2 linked regions of the Drosophila melanogaster genome follow. The protein of the gene in region 2 interacts with the protein of the main gene of each other region in a pairwise test. Each region holds a gene or a part of one and is shown on either strand. Other genes may lie near its edges.

Region 1 (8,657 bases), 7.2 Mb from region 2:
TACTGCACTCGTACAACTGGCGAAGAAGAAGAACCGGACGAAGAGACGAGCACGCAGACGTATATACGACCGCCCCAAAAGATGAAGAGAACACACACGTACTTTATTCCGGACGGACCGGCGTCTGAATGGGAACTGCGGACGCGGACTTATCAGGCCCGATGGCCCAGCGCTTAATTCGCGACGTCGACCGCGACTTGGGTTCCACAACAACGAATCCCAGTGCGCACCGCACACCAGTCATGCTCATTTGGCGGTTTTTTGGAATTGATCCGGGTTTCCCCAGTCCCCTCCGCCGGATGTTCTCTTCACGAACTATGAATTTTCCATGTTTCCGTTATTGCGTTTATAGCACTTAGAAAGTTTTAGAAAAAAACGTTTTTTAAAAGTAAAAATTTTCGTGTATTATTAAAGTGGAATCTAGCAAATTTCATGCAGAGAACAATTTCCCAATCCTCAAATCAGACCCCAGATAAGAAACATCTTTAAAAGAAAACCTTTTACTTACCGCAGAAGTAAATGTACATTACTTGTTTAACTACGTGTAATTGGCATCACTAGCCCGCACAATCTTATCTGCAAAAAAGATTGTGTGTGTGCTTTGCATTGAATGAATGTGAATTAAAATTTGTAAAACGCGAGATTGCGCGCTCCCACTCCATGGGCAACTAAATTGCTGCCCGGCAGAGAGGTTATCAGTCTCGGGCTCCACATTTTCCACAGTAATTCCAGGGAGATGTGTGGCCTGTTTGTTGTTTATTACAATTATAAACGTTAATGACCGCCTCGCAAACGGATCCAATCGGATCACCAAAGATGTTTTATGCCGCACTAAATATAGATTGAAATCGGGTTTCTTCATTTAAAATTAGTTCAAGTTCGGATGATAACCCTTCGCAGATCGGGTTGCCAGGCGCTACAGGGACAATCGAACGGAAATCGAATCTTAAAGATTAAATCGCACGGAAAATTGGAATACACGTTTATGATCATAATCAATGTTGTATATTCCAGGCCTTCTATATCTTTAAATACAATCCACTTATACAGTATTATTATTTTCCATAAATATTTAATCACTTACAATCAGGCTCGTAGTGAATTCACGTTAAGGAAACATGTTTCACAATTTGGACAACGACTTCAACTTGTTTACGTACGTCAAGTAGCTCTAGTTATAAAACTTATTTCAGTATTATGATAACGTAATGACACTCTTATCAAACAACGAAATACCCGAGCGATAAAACAAGAAGTATCACCCGACGCGGTGGGCAGTCAAAAAAGTAATATTAATGAAGACTTAAGCCTATTTTCTCGGGATCAGTTAAGATCACTTAATTTAGCCATCTGGAGGTTTCCGTGGCAGTCAGACCCTCGGAGCGCAGACGTTGCAGCATGGGACGATAAATGTCGGGAGTGAAGGGCAGCAGGACGCCGCGTTCCTGGATCTCACCTGAAATGGGATGATTTGGAATTATTTAAACGGCTTTTAAGAGTACTGATAAGGGAACCCACCGTCTAGGATCATTTTGGCTGCGATGGCAGCCGGCTTGCCCACAGTCATCGCCATGGCGGAGTGACCCTGGGGCTGTCCGTAGACCACAAAATTGATTCCACGCTCCTCACGACGACCATCGGGCCAACGGATGCCAACTTCATGGCGCAGCACCACCAGGTCGCGTTCATCCCGCTCTGTAAATGAATAGTATGATTAATTATAAAATCAGTTTAGAATTAAATGGTTAACCCACCGAAGGCAAGTCTCTTCGAGAGATAGTGACTAAGCGTATCCAGCGGAGTGTTGAGCTTCACCACAGGAGTATCATCCAGCAGACCCAAGCTCTCGATGCCGTCCACATCTCCAATGCGCTCAGTCAGCTTCTGCTTGAGGTTCTCGTAGAAGATGGTCGAGTCCGACATGCCCATTAGATGGATCACCAGCTGGCGCCACGTGACATCCGGCCCACTGGGATGTAGCAATGCATGTGGCTCCGGATCGATAAGTCCCAAGAGCTGCATAGGCTTAATCGATTCCGAAAAGCCCTTATAACGTATGGTTCCACGAAGCAAAGTGTGCACATCCCTGCCTAAGCCGTAAAGGTTGCCGTATTTGGTGGAATCCCTGTTGGGGAAACCCTCCAGGGCGAATCCTGGCAGGAAATCCAAGCTGCGAGGACTTGACATGAGTTCCCCACCTCCAGAAATCTCCACAATTTGTCCCTGACTCAGATATTTTGCAGCGGAAAGTGTGTTGAGAAGTACTCCCCTGGGTGACCAAGAGAACTTATATCTTAGGGCATTATTGGAATGCTCCGGTGCAGGCAGACCGCCACAATAGCTCACGAAGGACTCGACAACTGCTCCCTTGTCCTGCACCTCGTGGATGCACTCCAGTGCCAGAAGGTGATCGATACCAGGATCCAAGCCCACCTCGTTCATGATGGTCACACCCTTGGCCTTGGCCTCCTCGTGCAAACCGGAGATCTCGTCGTTCAGATAACTTGCGGTAACCATGTGGGTGCCCTCTGCCACGCAATAACGTGCCACCATGCCATGGAGACTGTAGGGCAGCAGGGAAACTACTACATCTGCCCTGCCGCACAGCTCCTGCAGATGACCAGTGCTCTCGTTCACATCCAGATAGACGCTGTCCACTCCAGCATACTGCTGAGCCAGGCGATCGGCTTCCTCCTTGACCTGCGAGCAAACCGTTATGCTGACGTCCTTTTCGCGATGAAGCCACTCTACGAGTGGAGCGGACACCATGCCAGCTCCCAGAACCAAGACCTTCTTGTCAGACTCCGAACTTCCCTCCATCTTGTGGCGCGATCTGTGGCTTTGCGACTCTCGGAGCTCCTGAATATACTGGAAGCCCTCCGTCAGCTGACCGTTGCTGGCGATAATAGCCTGAAAACGAGCAAAGAGAAACGGAATTTATTAGCTGATAACAGATGCTGATAACAAGGCATGATGCACATTGGTTTAGGTTAAGAAAACAACTCTTCAAAGCGTAAGTTACAATATAAATCATTAACTTTAGGTAAATTTATAAATGTAATATAAAGGTAAGGCAAAGTGAACTCACCGACTGAATGGGGTATGAGAAGTTCTCCTCTGCCAACGGCTTCTTGGCATCGCTCTTTATAATATCATGAACATGAGGAGCCAACAGCTCTCCAAACAAATCCGTCGATTCTCTGGGCAATTGTGTAGGCATATTATCAATCGAACAGACTAAAACTCCGGGTCCCTTAAAGCTCTTGGTATCCTTATTCCTGTCCGCATCGTACAAGCAGAATGGAGTGTCGATGGTGGTGCACTCGTTCATAAACTCAATGGAGCCACCGGGATCAGCGGAAATGTCGCAAATGGCCAGCATGCGATGTGGCAAAGCCGGACTACCCTTGCTCGTCGGCAGCCAGGGAGTGTTTGCCGGACGTAGCAGATTCTTGGCATCCGGAATGCTGATCAACTTGGGACTGCCTACGGCCCAGTAGATGCCGTTAACAATAACCGATGCGTACGGAGCTATCTTCGTGCTAAAGGTGGAGATGTATCGTTCGGGGAACTCATCGTATTCCTTGGCATCAAATCCGCCGCCCTCACGACGCTCCAGATGATCCGATCGGCTCACCTCGCAGCCGTAAAGCTTATTTTGATCTAACGTTAAATACAAATTGTAGTTCATTCAGAATTAACTAATGCAGGATTCCACTTGACTCACTTCCATGTTCGGCCACCTTGCGTAGCATCTCCGGTGGAACATACTCAATGGGCAGCTCGGAGAACACCTCCTGGGCACCTTGGGAAACATTTCCAGAGCCAGTGAACACAAATGTAAGTGGTCCAATGGACTTGGGCATCATGCCAAGCGAGATCTCGTAGCCACAATCCCGGATTGCCTGGCGAGCCATCGAGGAATTGCGATAGTTATGAGCGGGTCCAATGTGCATGAATGGTGTATGATGTCCCAGGGCCAAAAGACGCAGTCCAATGCCGTGCAGGATGTTCACCATGCCAGCCACTCCGGCATATTTGCCAAAGGCCACCTGTCGTGCTCCGCGTTCGTCGATGATTCGCTCATAGTCGATGAGCCGAATTTTCTATGGATAAAACAGTGGCAATATAATATGAAAAACTTCATTTAACTCTTATGTGTGATAGGAACCTTCTCCAAAATAGCATCCAAAAGCGGCATATTTGATTCCTGCGCTTTAATCGTGTGCGAAAAGAAGCAGTAGGTCTTCCCAGGAATCAGTGCATCTATGGGCACCTGTTTCACTCCGAATATCACCGAAGCATCACTGATGTCCTCCTGAATATGAGCTCCAGCCTGCATGTAGGCCTGTTCCGGAAAAACAAATCAACTCAATGTTATTATTTGTTTTTATTTAGTTAAGTGCCCCGCTTATCTATTCTATTCATCCTGCTACGTGGTAATCTTTACAATGCATCAGGCGAAAGATGATGATTGTACTATACACGTGTGAAACATTTAATCCCCTTGCCCCTCAACTTAATTAAATCTGATTAGGTTTTCTAATTTTTTCCAGTACCATTTGCTAATCGTTTTGTAATTGCATTTACTGTTGGGGTGTGTCAGTGGGGTACTTTAAATTAAGTGCTTTACCTTCTTCAAAAATTATTTTAGTTAGTTTAGTTCTTTCTCACGTGACCCTTTGAAAATGTTATCAACTCTAAAAATCACCTTAATACATTATATAGATTCCTTGAAATCATTGCTGCAAACGATAAGCTTTGCTTCCCATTGTTTTTCCTCTCCTCGTCGTTTGTTTTGTACTCGATTTCAAGGCCGGGCCAATTGCCAAATTTAGAGCTCCATGGAGGCTTATCATCCGAGTTTATATTTATGATGCAGCACTTGGGGGGCGTGTGTGCCTCCATACCATATAAATACCATACTATGCTACCTATACACGCGTACTTGTTGCCCTGACGACTACCGACCGATATGATTTCCATGGGCGATTAGCCCTGCAGACTCAATAAATCCGTTGCCAACTGGCCATGGAAAGTTACAACCTATGGATAATGTGACGAAATTTTAATTTCAAATTGAGCTCACCTGCATGGGGTAGGCACGACGATTGGACGGCTGCACTATGACCTTGACATTCTGCTTGACCAACTTCTGGACGTGGGTTGGTCCAAACGGAGCTCGTCGCTCCCACACCGACTGATCCTCTCGCCGAATGGCAATCACTCGACTCTGAAAGAGCAAAAGATTGGGATATTTATTTAGTATATATATTTTAAAAATTAATATCTTTTACATTCGTATGAATGCGATTATTCAATGTGGCTGCAATTGGGGAGTTGAATCAACTCACATGACGTTGTCTGGTGAACGGATGCGCGATTGTTGCGCGCAGTTGAATCACTCGCCACATGTTTCGGCAGCTTTGTGGGATCAGTTCGAGCAGATGAAGTGCGAATTTAATTGTAACCGTTGTGCTTATTCTTGGCCTGAGTGGAATGATCCGATCCGTTGGCTCCGAGCTCTGGTACTCTTCTAAAGGCATCGATGGAGGCAGTCAGCGAAACAGCCTCTAATCAGCAGTTGGACCCAGTCGTAAATCCAGCGATAAGCCGTGCTCTCCATGCATCTCATCGCAGCTAAAAGAAACCAATTTTGTGCGTTAGCTGGGCAAAAAGAGCGAGCTGCTGGTGATTGTCACTTACCCGTGAGGGAATCCGGATCTCCGTTCGATTTTCGGCTGAAAATTTTCCACTTTGATAAGAGAAGTTTCTAAGAATTAAGAGAATCGTCCGGGGAAAATTCCTCAAGCGCTGTTTACACAATGCAATTCTTATACAAATTTTCGGGAAAAAACCGATTATTTCCTTATTGAATCATTCAAAATTGTTTAAAATAATAACATTTTAAATTTTAAAAATATATTTTTTAATAGTCAATATGTGTCTATGCATATGTTCATATGTCTATATGTTATTAAATTAAAGATTCTTTTAAGATTTTAAAAACAATGCCAATGATGTTGAAAACATTTAAAAACAGTATGTTCTTCATTTAAATCGTAGATATATTTTTTATAGATAAAATTGCACCTTGTAAACACCACTTTTCGATTTCGGTTTTTGGTGTTAAAGCATACGTTTTATTTTAATTGCATCTTGGTTTCATAGGTTCGTCTCTAGCACAGATTGCAGTGCAGATTATAAACATTCTACTATTCACATCAAAAACAGAGTACGTTCTTAGATATCTAAAATTCTACGAGCTATTGAGGCAGCAGTCACCATGTTGTAACTTGGCTAACACTCGGAAATAAATATACATGATTATTACAGCTAGTAAAACAAATTGTTTGTTTTTGCTACATTCTCAGGTATGCACAAAACTCAAAAGGAAAACGGAATAACAGTTTGATTATGGGAGTTTTAAAAGAGGAAAGCCGTAAAGCTGTAAAGCTGGTTTGTGGATGGTCAAACACGTCCCTCTGTATAACGTACAGTTCGATCCTCTAGAGCGCCGGCGCCTCGGGCAGCAGCGAGGTGAAGAACGTGATGACAAAGGTGCGCACAACGGAAATCACAGAATTATTGGCATTTGGTGGTTCCACAGCTTCCGCGGAAACGTCAGTCGGTTCTGGATTAGCAGCGGATGCTGGAGCAACGGGAGCCCCAGCCGGAGGTGCATCGATTGCATCTTGTTCACCAGCAGCAGCAGGTCCAGCCGCTGGCACTGCACCAGGCTCATTGGCCGCCTGGGGATCGTTGTTCTCCCGCTGCACGGCCGCATCCATCATGCGCTGAATTTGCTGCACTGCAGCAAAGGCGGCCGCATCGCCAGCATTATTGTTACGATTTATGTTGTTATTGTTCCGCTCGCGGCGACGTCGAAGGACACCAATGTGATATCTAACAAACAATTATAATTTCAATATATGTGTAAACTTTTCAATTCGAATCAAAGAGGAAATGTACTTACAGATAAATCGCACCCGCGATGAGCACCACCAGTAAACAACGCAGCGCTGAGGAGTTAAAGTACAGGACAGTCACAAAAATGGCCAATCGCGTAAAGCTAAAGAAACTATCCAGCCAGTCGTGCATTTCCGGTTCCTCCTGAATGTTGGGAAAATTTCTGTTCTGCGGCGCTCCATTAATCTGAGGATCAGCAGGTACCTGTGCCGCTGGGGCAGCAGCTGCTCCTGCCACTTGTTGTACCTCCCCGAAGTTTCGCCCAGCAATCAGTGGGACTGAGGGCAACAGGGGTTGAGTCGGTGGCGGCAAGCCAGATTGGTTCGAACCGGGCAACGTAGAACTGTGGGTATAATATAAGATTGTTGTGTAAGAATCATAGCATTCAATATTATAGAAAATAATTGTTCGTTTACATGCAAAACTTAATTGCGCACAATAAATTCTTCGGGAGCGACCCCAAAATTATATTATTTAACTGTAATCGTGGCCATACAAGTATACTACAATTTTAGCACGCCTGATAACCAAAATAATAAAAAGATTATAAATAATCAAGAAACAACTTTAAAAATGCTAAAACAGCATTTTGATCTCACTTGAATAATAAAGTACCTCTTAAGAGTGACTAAATACAAGTGTTTCTCCTTCTGAGAAAAATAAAATGTATTCGCTATCGAGCTCTGTGTAATTTGATTCGCTCGCTTCTGATATCAGTGAATTAATTGTTGGATCAAGTGTGTTCCTTTAGCCTTCTGGTTCTGTTCACTTACCGTAGAGTCAACTGCTGCATGTACTGCGCGTAAGCCTGCTGCATCCAGGCGTTGTAGATGAGCGCCTGCTGCTGGAACAAAGCATGGGGACTGGCACTGGCATTGGCAGCAGGTGCTGCTCCCTGGCTCTGCTGCCAGAAGTGTGTCCAGGGATTGGCCAAACCGATGTCACCCGTCACGTGTGGTCCAGCGTTGCCCTGCTGTGCCTGCTGCTGATGTGGAGCATGACGTTGTCGCAGCTCATTTGCATTCCCAGTGACCTCGGGCCCAGCTGGAACCGCATCCTTCTGCGGAACAGTGGGGGCTTTGGCAGCCGGCCTTATCACTTGCTTGCTGGCACACACCAAGTGAAATATGTGGTGCTGTTGGTAGACATCCTTGTAGCTGCGTATCACCTCAGATATCTTTTGGGAGTCATCTAATAGCTTGCCCGAGTAAATAAGTTTCTGGTCCTGGATTAACTACAGAAAAAATGGAAAGAAATAGTTATAGTGGTCAAAACATAAAACATAAAATTTCACATTATAGGTATTCAGAGGGAACCTAGAGATAACTCATTGTTGCTTTTACCTCCGCGCGAAATTTATACTATCAAACAGTGCCTAAATCTATTTATTTGCACACTCCAAGAGATAACAACTTGTACTTGTCAGTTGACTTTATGGAAATGATACTTGAAACTAAATAAATTTTTATAAATTCTACTTGATTTGCTCTGGAAATAAAGAGTGCTAATGTATTTTTTCTGCCTGCAATGATCTGAATCTTTAGTATATATCAGTGATATTGATATGTGGGATGTACATATGTACATAAAAAACTTGGCACATGAGTGGAGCGTGAATATGTCCAAAAATCTTATCACTTTCTAACCGTAACCAAATTAATCCCAGTTCCCAGTTCCGACCCATCGAT
Region 2 (4,561 bases):
TGGCTTTCTTTCATAGGGAAACGAATTTTTTGTTCTATTCGATTTTATCATTCTCTTCTCTTCGGTGGGTGGAGCCTAACTTTCTATTGAAATCTCAATTTTAATTTTACTAAACTTTTATTGCTCCCGTTCGGTGAATGTCCAACTGTGATTCCCCAGATCCTATCCTAGCTTTTAGTTTTAGCTTAAGTTTTAGTTGCCGTTTCCGTTCGCGATGCAAGCAAAGCCTTATTAGCTACACTGAACGAATTCGAATGGGAATTTTGTAACAACAAATGGTTTTCTGAACACCGAAGATAAATGGACTGGGAGAAACTCATATTTTGAAGTAATGAGAATTAAATGTGAGCATAAAGGACTATCGAGCAATGCGATTTCTTACAGTGCACTTGCAGTTGCTGTTGGCTTACTGCTATTGCTGCCGGTTGCAGGTGGCCGCCATTTGGGCCATGATTTATGCAGTGGCCGGGCATTAGAAAGGTCGTTCGCAGTTGTCGTCGCCAGTCGTGATTTCAGTGGAGAATGAGGAGCAGGTGGGAAACGAGCTCCGTGGGGCGGAGGAGCTTGGTCAGGAGAGAGAGGATGGGGGATATAAGTAAGCCAAGAAAATCCATTGCCACTCAGAGTCGGACGTCTTAATTAGGTTTTCTGCTGAAAAGTGCCGAAAAATGTTGGCTAATGCCCAACTTGCCACGCCCACACGAGCAGCAGACATTGTCTCTGACCCACAAATGGTCCTCCATCCTACCAAAAGCCCCTCTCCCTTTTTAGTCATGCCCCAATTTGAAGCTTTCTTCTGGTTCTCCCAGCGCGATTATAAATGACATCGCATTAGTCTTGGTCGGGTTAATGTGCGTTTCCTTTGGCCAAAAAACTGCCAACTTCGCACAACTTCATTAGTGGAGAACCATGTGAGAAAAGCAGAATATCAGACACTTGTCTCCCGCTTGAAGAGTTCCGGGAATTAAAGTACAGTTGCTTTTTCGTCCTACGCAGGTCTTGATTCTAGCCCTTTGAGGCATTCAGTTAGAATGGCTAAGTATGAACATTAAGTTATCAAAACATCTTATATACTTAATACGTTCAAGACAAAGTGCTACATATAAAAATATCCCCTATAAAAGGTACATTTTCTGCTTACCAAAACTAAATACCAAACCTATAAACTTGAGCTTAAATTATAACATTTTACGTAAGATACATTTTTAAGTCATTACCAGATAAAAATGAACTGTAAGTTTTCATCTGCGTAAAAACCTATTTTACCAAAATTCTAATCTAAAGAGTCGGTGGTTTGGGCAGTTCTTCGATCCCTGAGTTCCTGCTGATGCTTAATGGTCACCTCGAGGAACTTCAGATAGCCCTCGTCAATGGGTTCGATCTCCTCATCCTCGGAAGAACTCTCGTACACGTAGTCCAGGCAGTGAAACGTTCCTGTTTCCTTGGGAATATCCTCAAGGTCCTGATCCAGATTCGGATTAACCTCAGGGCAGAGACTCATAACATGATTGTGGTGCCATTCAAAAAGGCTTTGGTATACTACAATAACAGGGAATTTTAAATGGTTAACACTATTAAAAAACTTATTAATGACTATTATTGTTACTTTGAGCCACATTGCTCCACTGATCTCGAGATGTATGTGGCTTCGGCTTTCCCTCACTTTTCTGCCTTCGTCTGCGCTGCTTGCTCCTATTCCTGTTTCTTTTCCTTGCCATTTCCTCCGATTTCCAATCCTCCATTGGCTTTTATTAGGAAAATACAAACATTCGTCGCCTTTTGTTTACTTCTCAGCATAAGCAATAACAAGATTGCAGTGTTGCCAAATTATCCAAAATGTGGCCAGAAACTGAAATCTAGCGACCGCTTCACAGAATTATATATTTTGGTTCATATGAAGCGCTTTAATAATGATTCATTATAATTTTGATTTGGCAATTGGTTGTTTTCTTTGTAAATAATTTTAAATAATATCTTTTTAAAAGCAGTTTAAGATTGTGATGTGAATAATCGTCTATCGGACTGTAACAGCTGTTAATTCCAGTGTGTGTACAGATTGTAAACAACGCGAACTCCAGATGGCGTCTTATTACTGTTACCGGAAATTAAGTACAGGGGCTTTCAGGGAACAACAGATGGCGCCACCATGTTACTTTTAGATATAATAATTATTGTTTCTAACTTAGAATCTCATAGATACATATTAAAAAAAATTGTCTTAAAAATCAATACAATATATTACAAAATTTATATAATTAATAATTATGAAATTATGCCGCAAATTAATGAAATGAAATTTTATTCATTTTTGAAGAATTACTTATTCCAACAAAATCTCTTCATTTCTTAAATGATAAAACCCTTATATTTCCCTGCCCTCGCGGCCAACCCCTTGAAGGCCTTTTCCGGTCAACCGACTGACTTCAAAACTCTGGTTCAGACCTTCCCGGCAAAGGGCAAGCGCAAAGTTAAAGCCAGAGCAGAAGCCAAGCCGGATCGGACCGAAATCCAGATCCAAGCCAATCCCAGCCAGAAACATAGCCAAACCAGGGCTAAGGCTAAAGCCTGAGGAAAAGGCAGAGGAGTTTTGTTTTTCTAGCAAATTCAAATCCCGCGCTTATAAATCTCGGTCGATCGGTCGGTCGCTCGAAGTAGCGAAGAAGAAGTTCGGGAACCAAAACTAAAACTGGGATTAGGGCGGATCAATTTGGCTGTAGTGCGAATGCAAATTGGCCAGCGGTACGATTTAAATGAGGCGGCCAAACAAAGAGCACATTGATATGGAGTGCATCCTGCTGAGCCGGAACAAAAAGTCCGGGTATGGATGCACTTCCACTTTACCTGCCTCGTCCGGTTCATAAAGGAAAATTAGGTTTACACCTTCCCGGCCAATATGTTCATAAAACAATTTAGAGATTTACAAGGGGATCAACTTGAATGTGGTGCACAGTACATTCCATCCAACATATCCTGTGCCCCTCGTTCTTTTTTCCGTTCTCTTAAGTGGGTGTGGGTGTGTTTGTATTGCGGTTTTAGTGTAGCGAAAAAGGCGCGTGGTTATGGTTATGGATACGGATACAGATATGGATATCATGGCCATCATCCCGCCCATCATCCCTCACTTTTCCCGAGCAATTCACACATGTTTACTTTGGCAACTAGCGGGGGGAACGAAAGCTCTTCATTTCCGATGAAGTAATATGCGTTCTGATAATATGAAAAACATCCTGCGGCCAGGATTTGCACGCACTTATTCCCTTTTAATGGACTTGGCCAGCGATTTTTTGCCCGCATTTATTTTGCATATTTTTTGCGCGCATCGAAGCCAAAAAAAGATTTTAATTCGAGTGGTTCCTACGTGTGCTGGTGCCAGTAAACTAGTTCGGAAATTCGAATTTACATTGAAATAATTTCAGATTTGGAGAGCATAAACTTATAGACGACGTTGGTCAGGATGGCGGATCATGCTCAAATAGAATATAATATATAGTATATATAGTTGAAAACAGCAATGAAATAAGCTTCTAAACTATAGAATGGTGTAATTTTTACGGTACCATGACTTTTGTTTAATTTTTACATATTATTTTTTATAATTCTTCCATTCGGAACCAGTTCCATTTCGGCTACTCGATTCGAATTCCAAGGAGAATCCTCGCCGCGGGGAACTGGGCGATTGCTACTTACTTGAGCTACATTAGGGACAATTTGCATTTGCACGGCTCGCAAATAGATATGTGGCCGCAGGACAACAAGACAATCAGGACTATCGGAACAATCGGAAGATGGGAGGATGCCGCCACAGGTATCTGTATCTCGGCCACTACTGTGCAGCGTGGGATTATAATTCTTGAGCACGGGATCAAAATAAAGCCTGCGGCCACCGTAAAGGGTAGCAAAAGCGGTGCTGATGGGAAAACAATGAAGTGCGGAGGGTAGCGAAAGGATTTAGGGTCGGGGCAGGACAAGTTAGTAACTCTCATTACTTTAAATGGATTTCAATTAAGTTGCAAATTGATCTCAAACACAATTGAGTCCCGTCGAGGCGTTTGAGTGGTTCGGGCGTTGTGCTTTCCCGCAGCCTGAAAATAAATGCGACCTGGACTAGTGCTAAGCCCAACAAAAGAGTTGCCTGCTCCGGATCTTCTTCCATGCCCTCTGCTTTTTTCTTCCGCGGTCTTGTCGCAGGCGGAAAATATTAAATAAGACTAGATGACAGAGCTGCTGCTCTTATTAAATCTATTGAAATTGAAGGTTAAATTGGCGTGTGAAAGAACAAAGTTTTCATCTTGATTTTTTCCAGTGATTTTTTCCATGTGACAGAATCAGAATCGGAATCCGAACCGTTGGCTGCCCTTTTTCATCTGCTTTTCGACTGTAAGCGATATGCGAACTGCAGGCAAAAGGACAGCTGCCGAAGCACTTGGCACCCATTGCTTCTCCCCCACATTCCCAAACCAGAAGCAAACTCATAAATGACTGGCACATTTCCCGGACTAAGGAGTCTGCTGCTGACAGGATAACGAGATTTTTCAAGTGGCCCTCCACTTCACACCCGTTT

What was found.
Region 1: the proteins of CG13689 (region 2) and LKRSDH interact in a two-hybrid assay, tested with the Drosophila melanogaster proteins (one large-scale study listed by BioGRID).

The regions. Positions count from the first base shown.
Region 1 is NT_033779.5:7,790,421-7,799,077, forward strand, and holds LKRSDH (lysine ketoglutarate reductase/saccharopine dehydrogenase), read right to left. Parts: upstream 5,540-8,657; 5' UTR 5,415-5,539; coding exon 5,355-5,414; intron 5,234-5,354; coding exon 5,090-5,233; intron 4,349-5,089; coding exon 4,172-4,348; intron 4,107-4,171; coding exon 3,728-4,106; intron 3,664-3,727; coding exon 3,089-3,663; intron 2,911-3,088; coding exon 1,755-2,910; intron 1,696-1,754; coding exon 1,519-1,695; intron 1,457-1,518; coding exon 1,338-1,456; 3' UTR 755-1,337; downstream 1-754. Other genes in the region: Herp (Homocysteine-induced endoplasmic reticulum protein), read right to left, coding at 6,510-6,906, 6,977-7,312, 7,743-8,203.
Region 2 is NT_033779.5:600,052-604,612, reverse strand, and holds CG13689 (uncharacterized protein), read right to left. Parts: upstream 1,801-4,561; 5' UTR 1,743-1,800; coding exon 1,607-1,742; intron 1,540-1,606; coding exon 1,274-1,539; 3' UTR 1,051-1,273; downstream 1-1,050.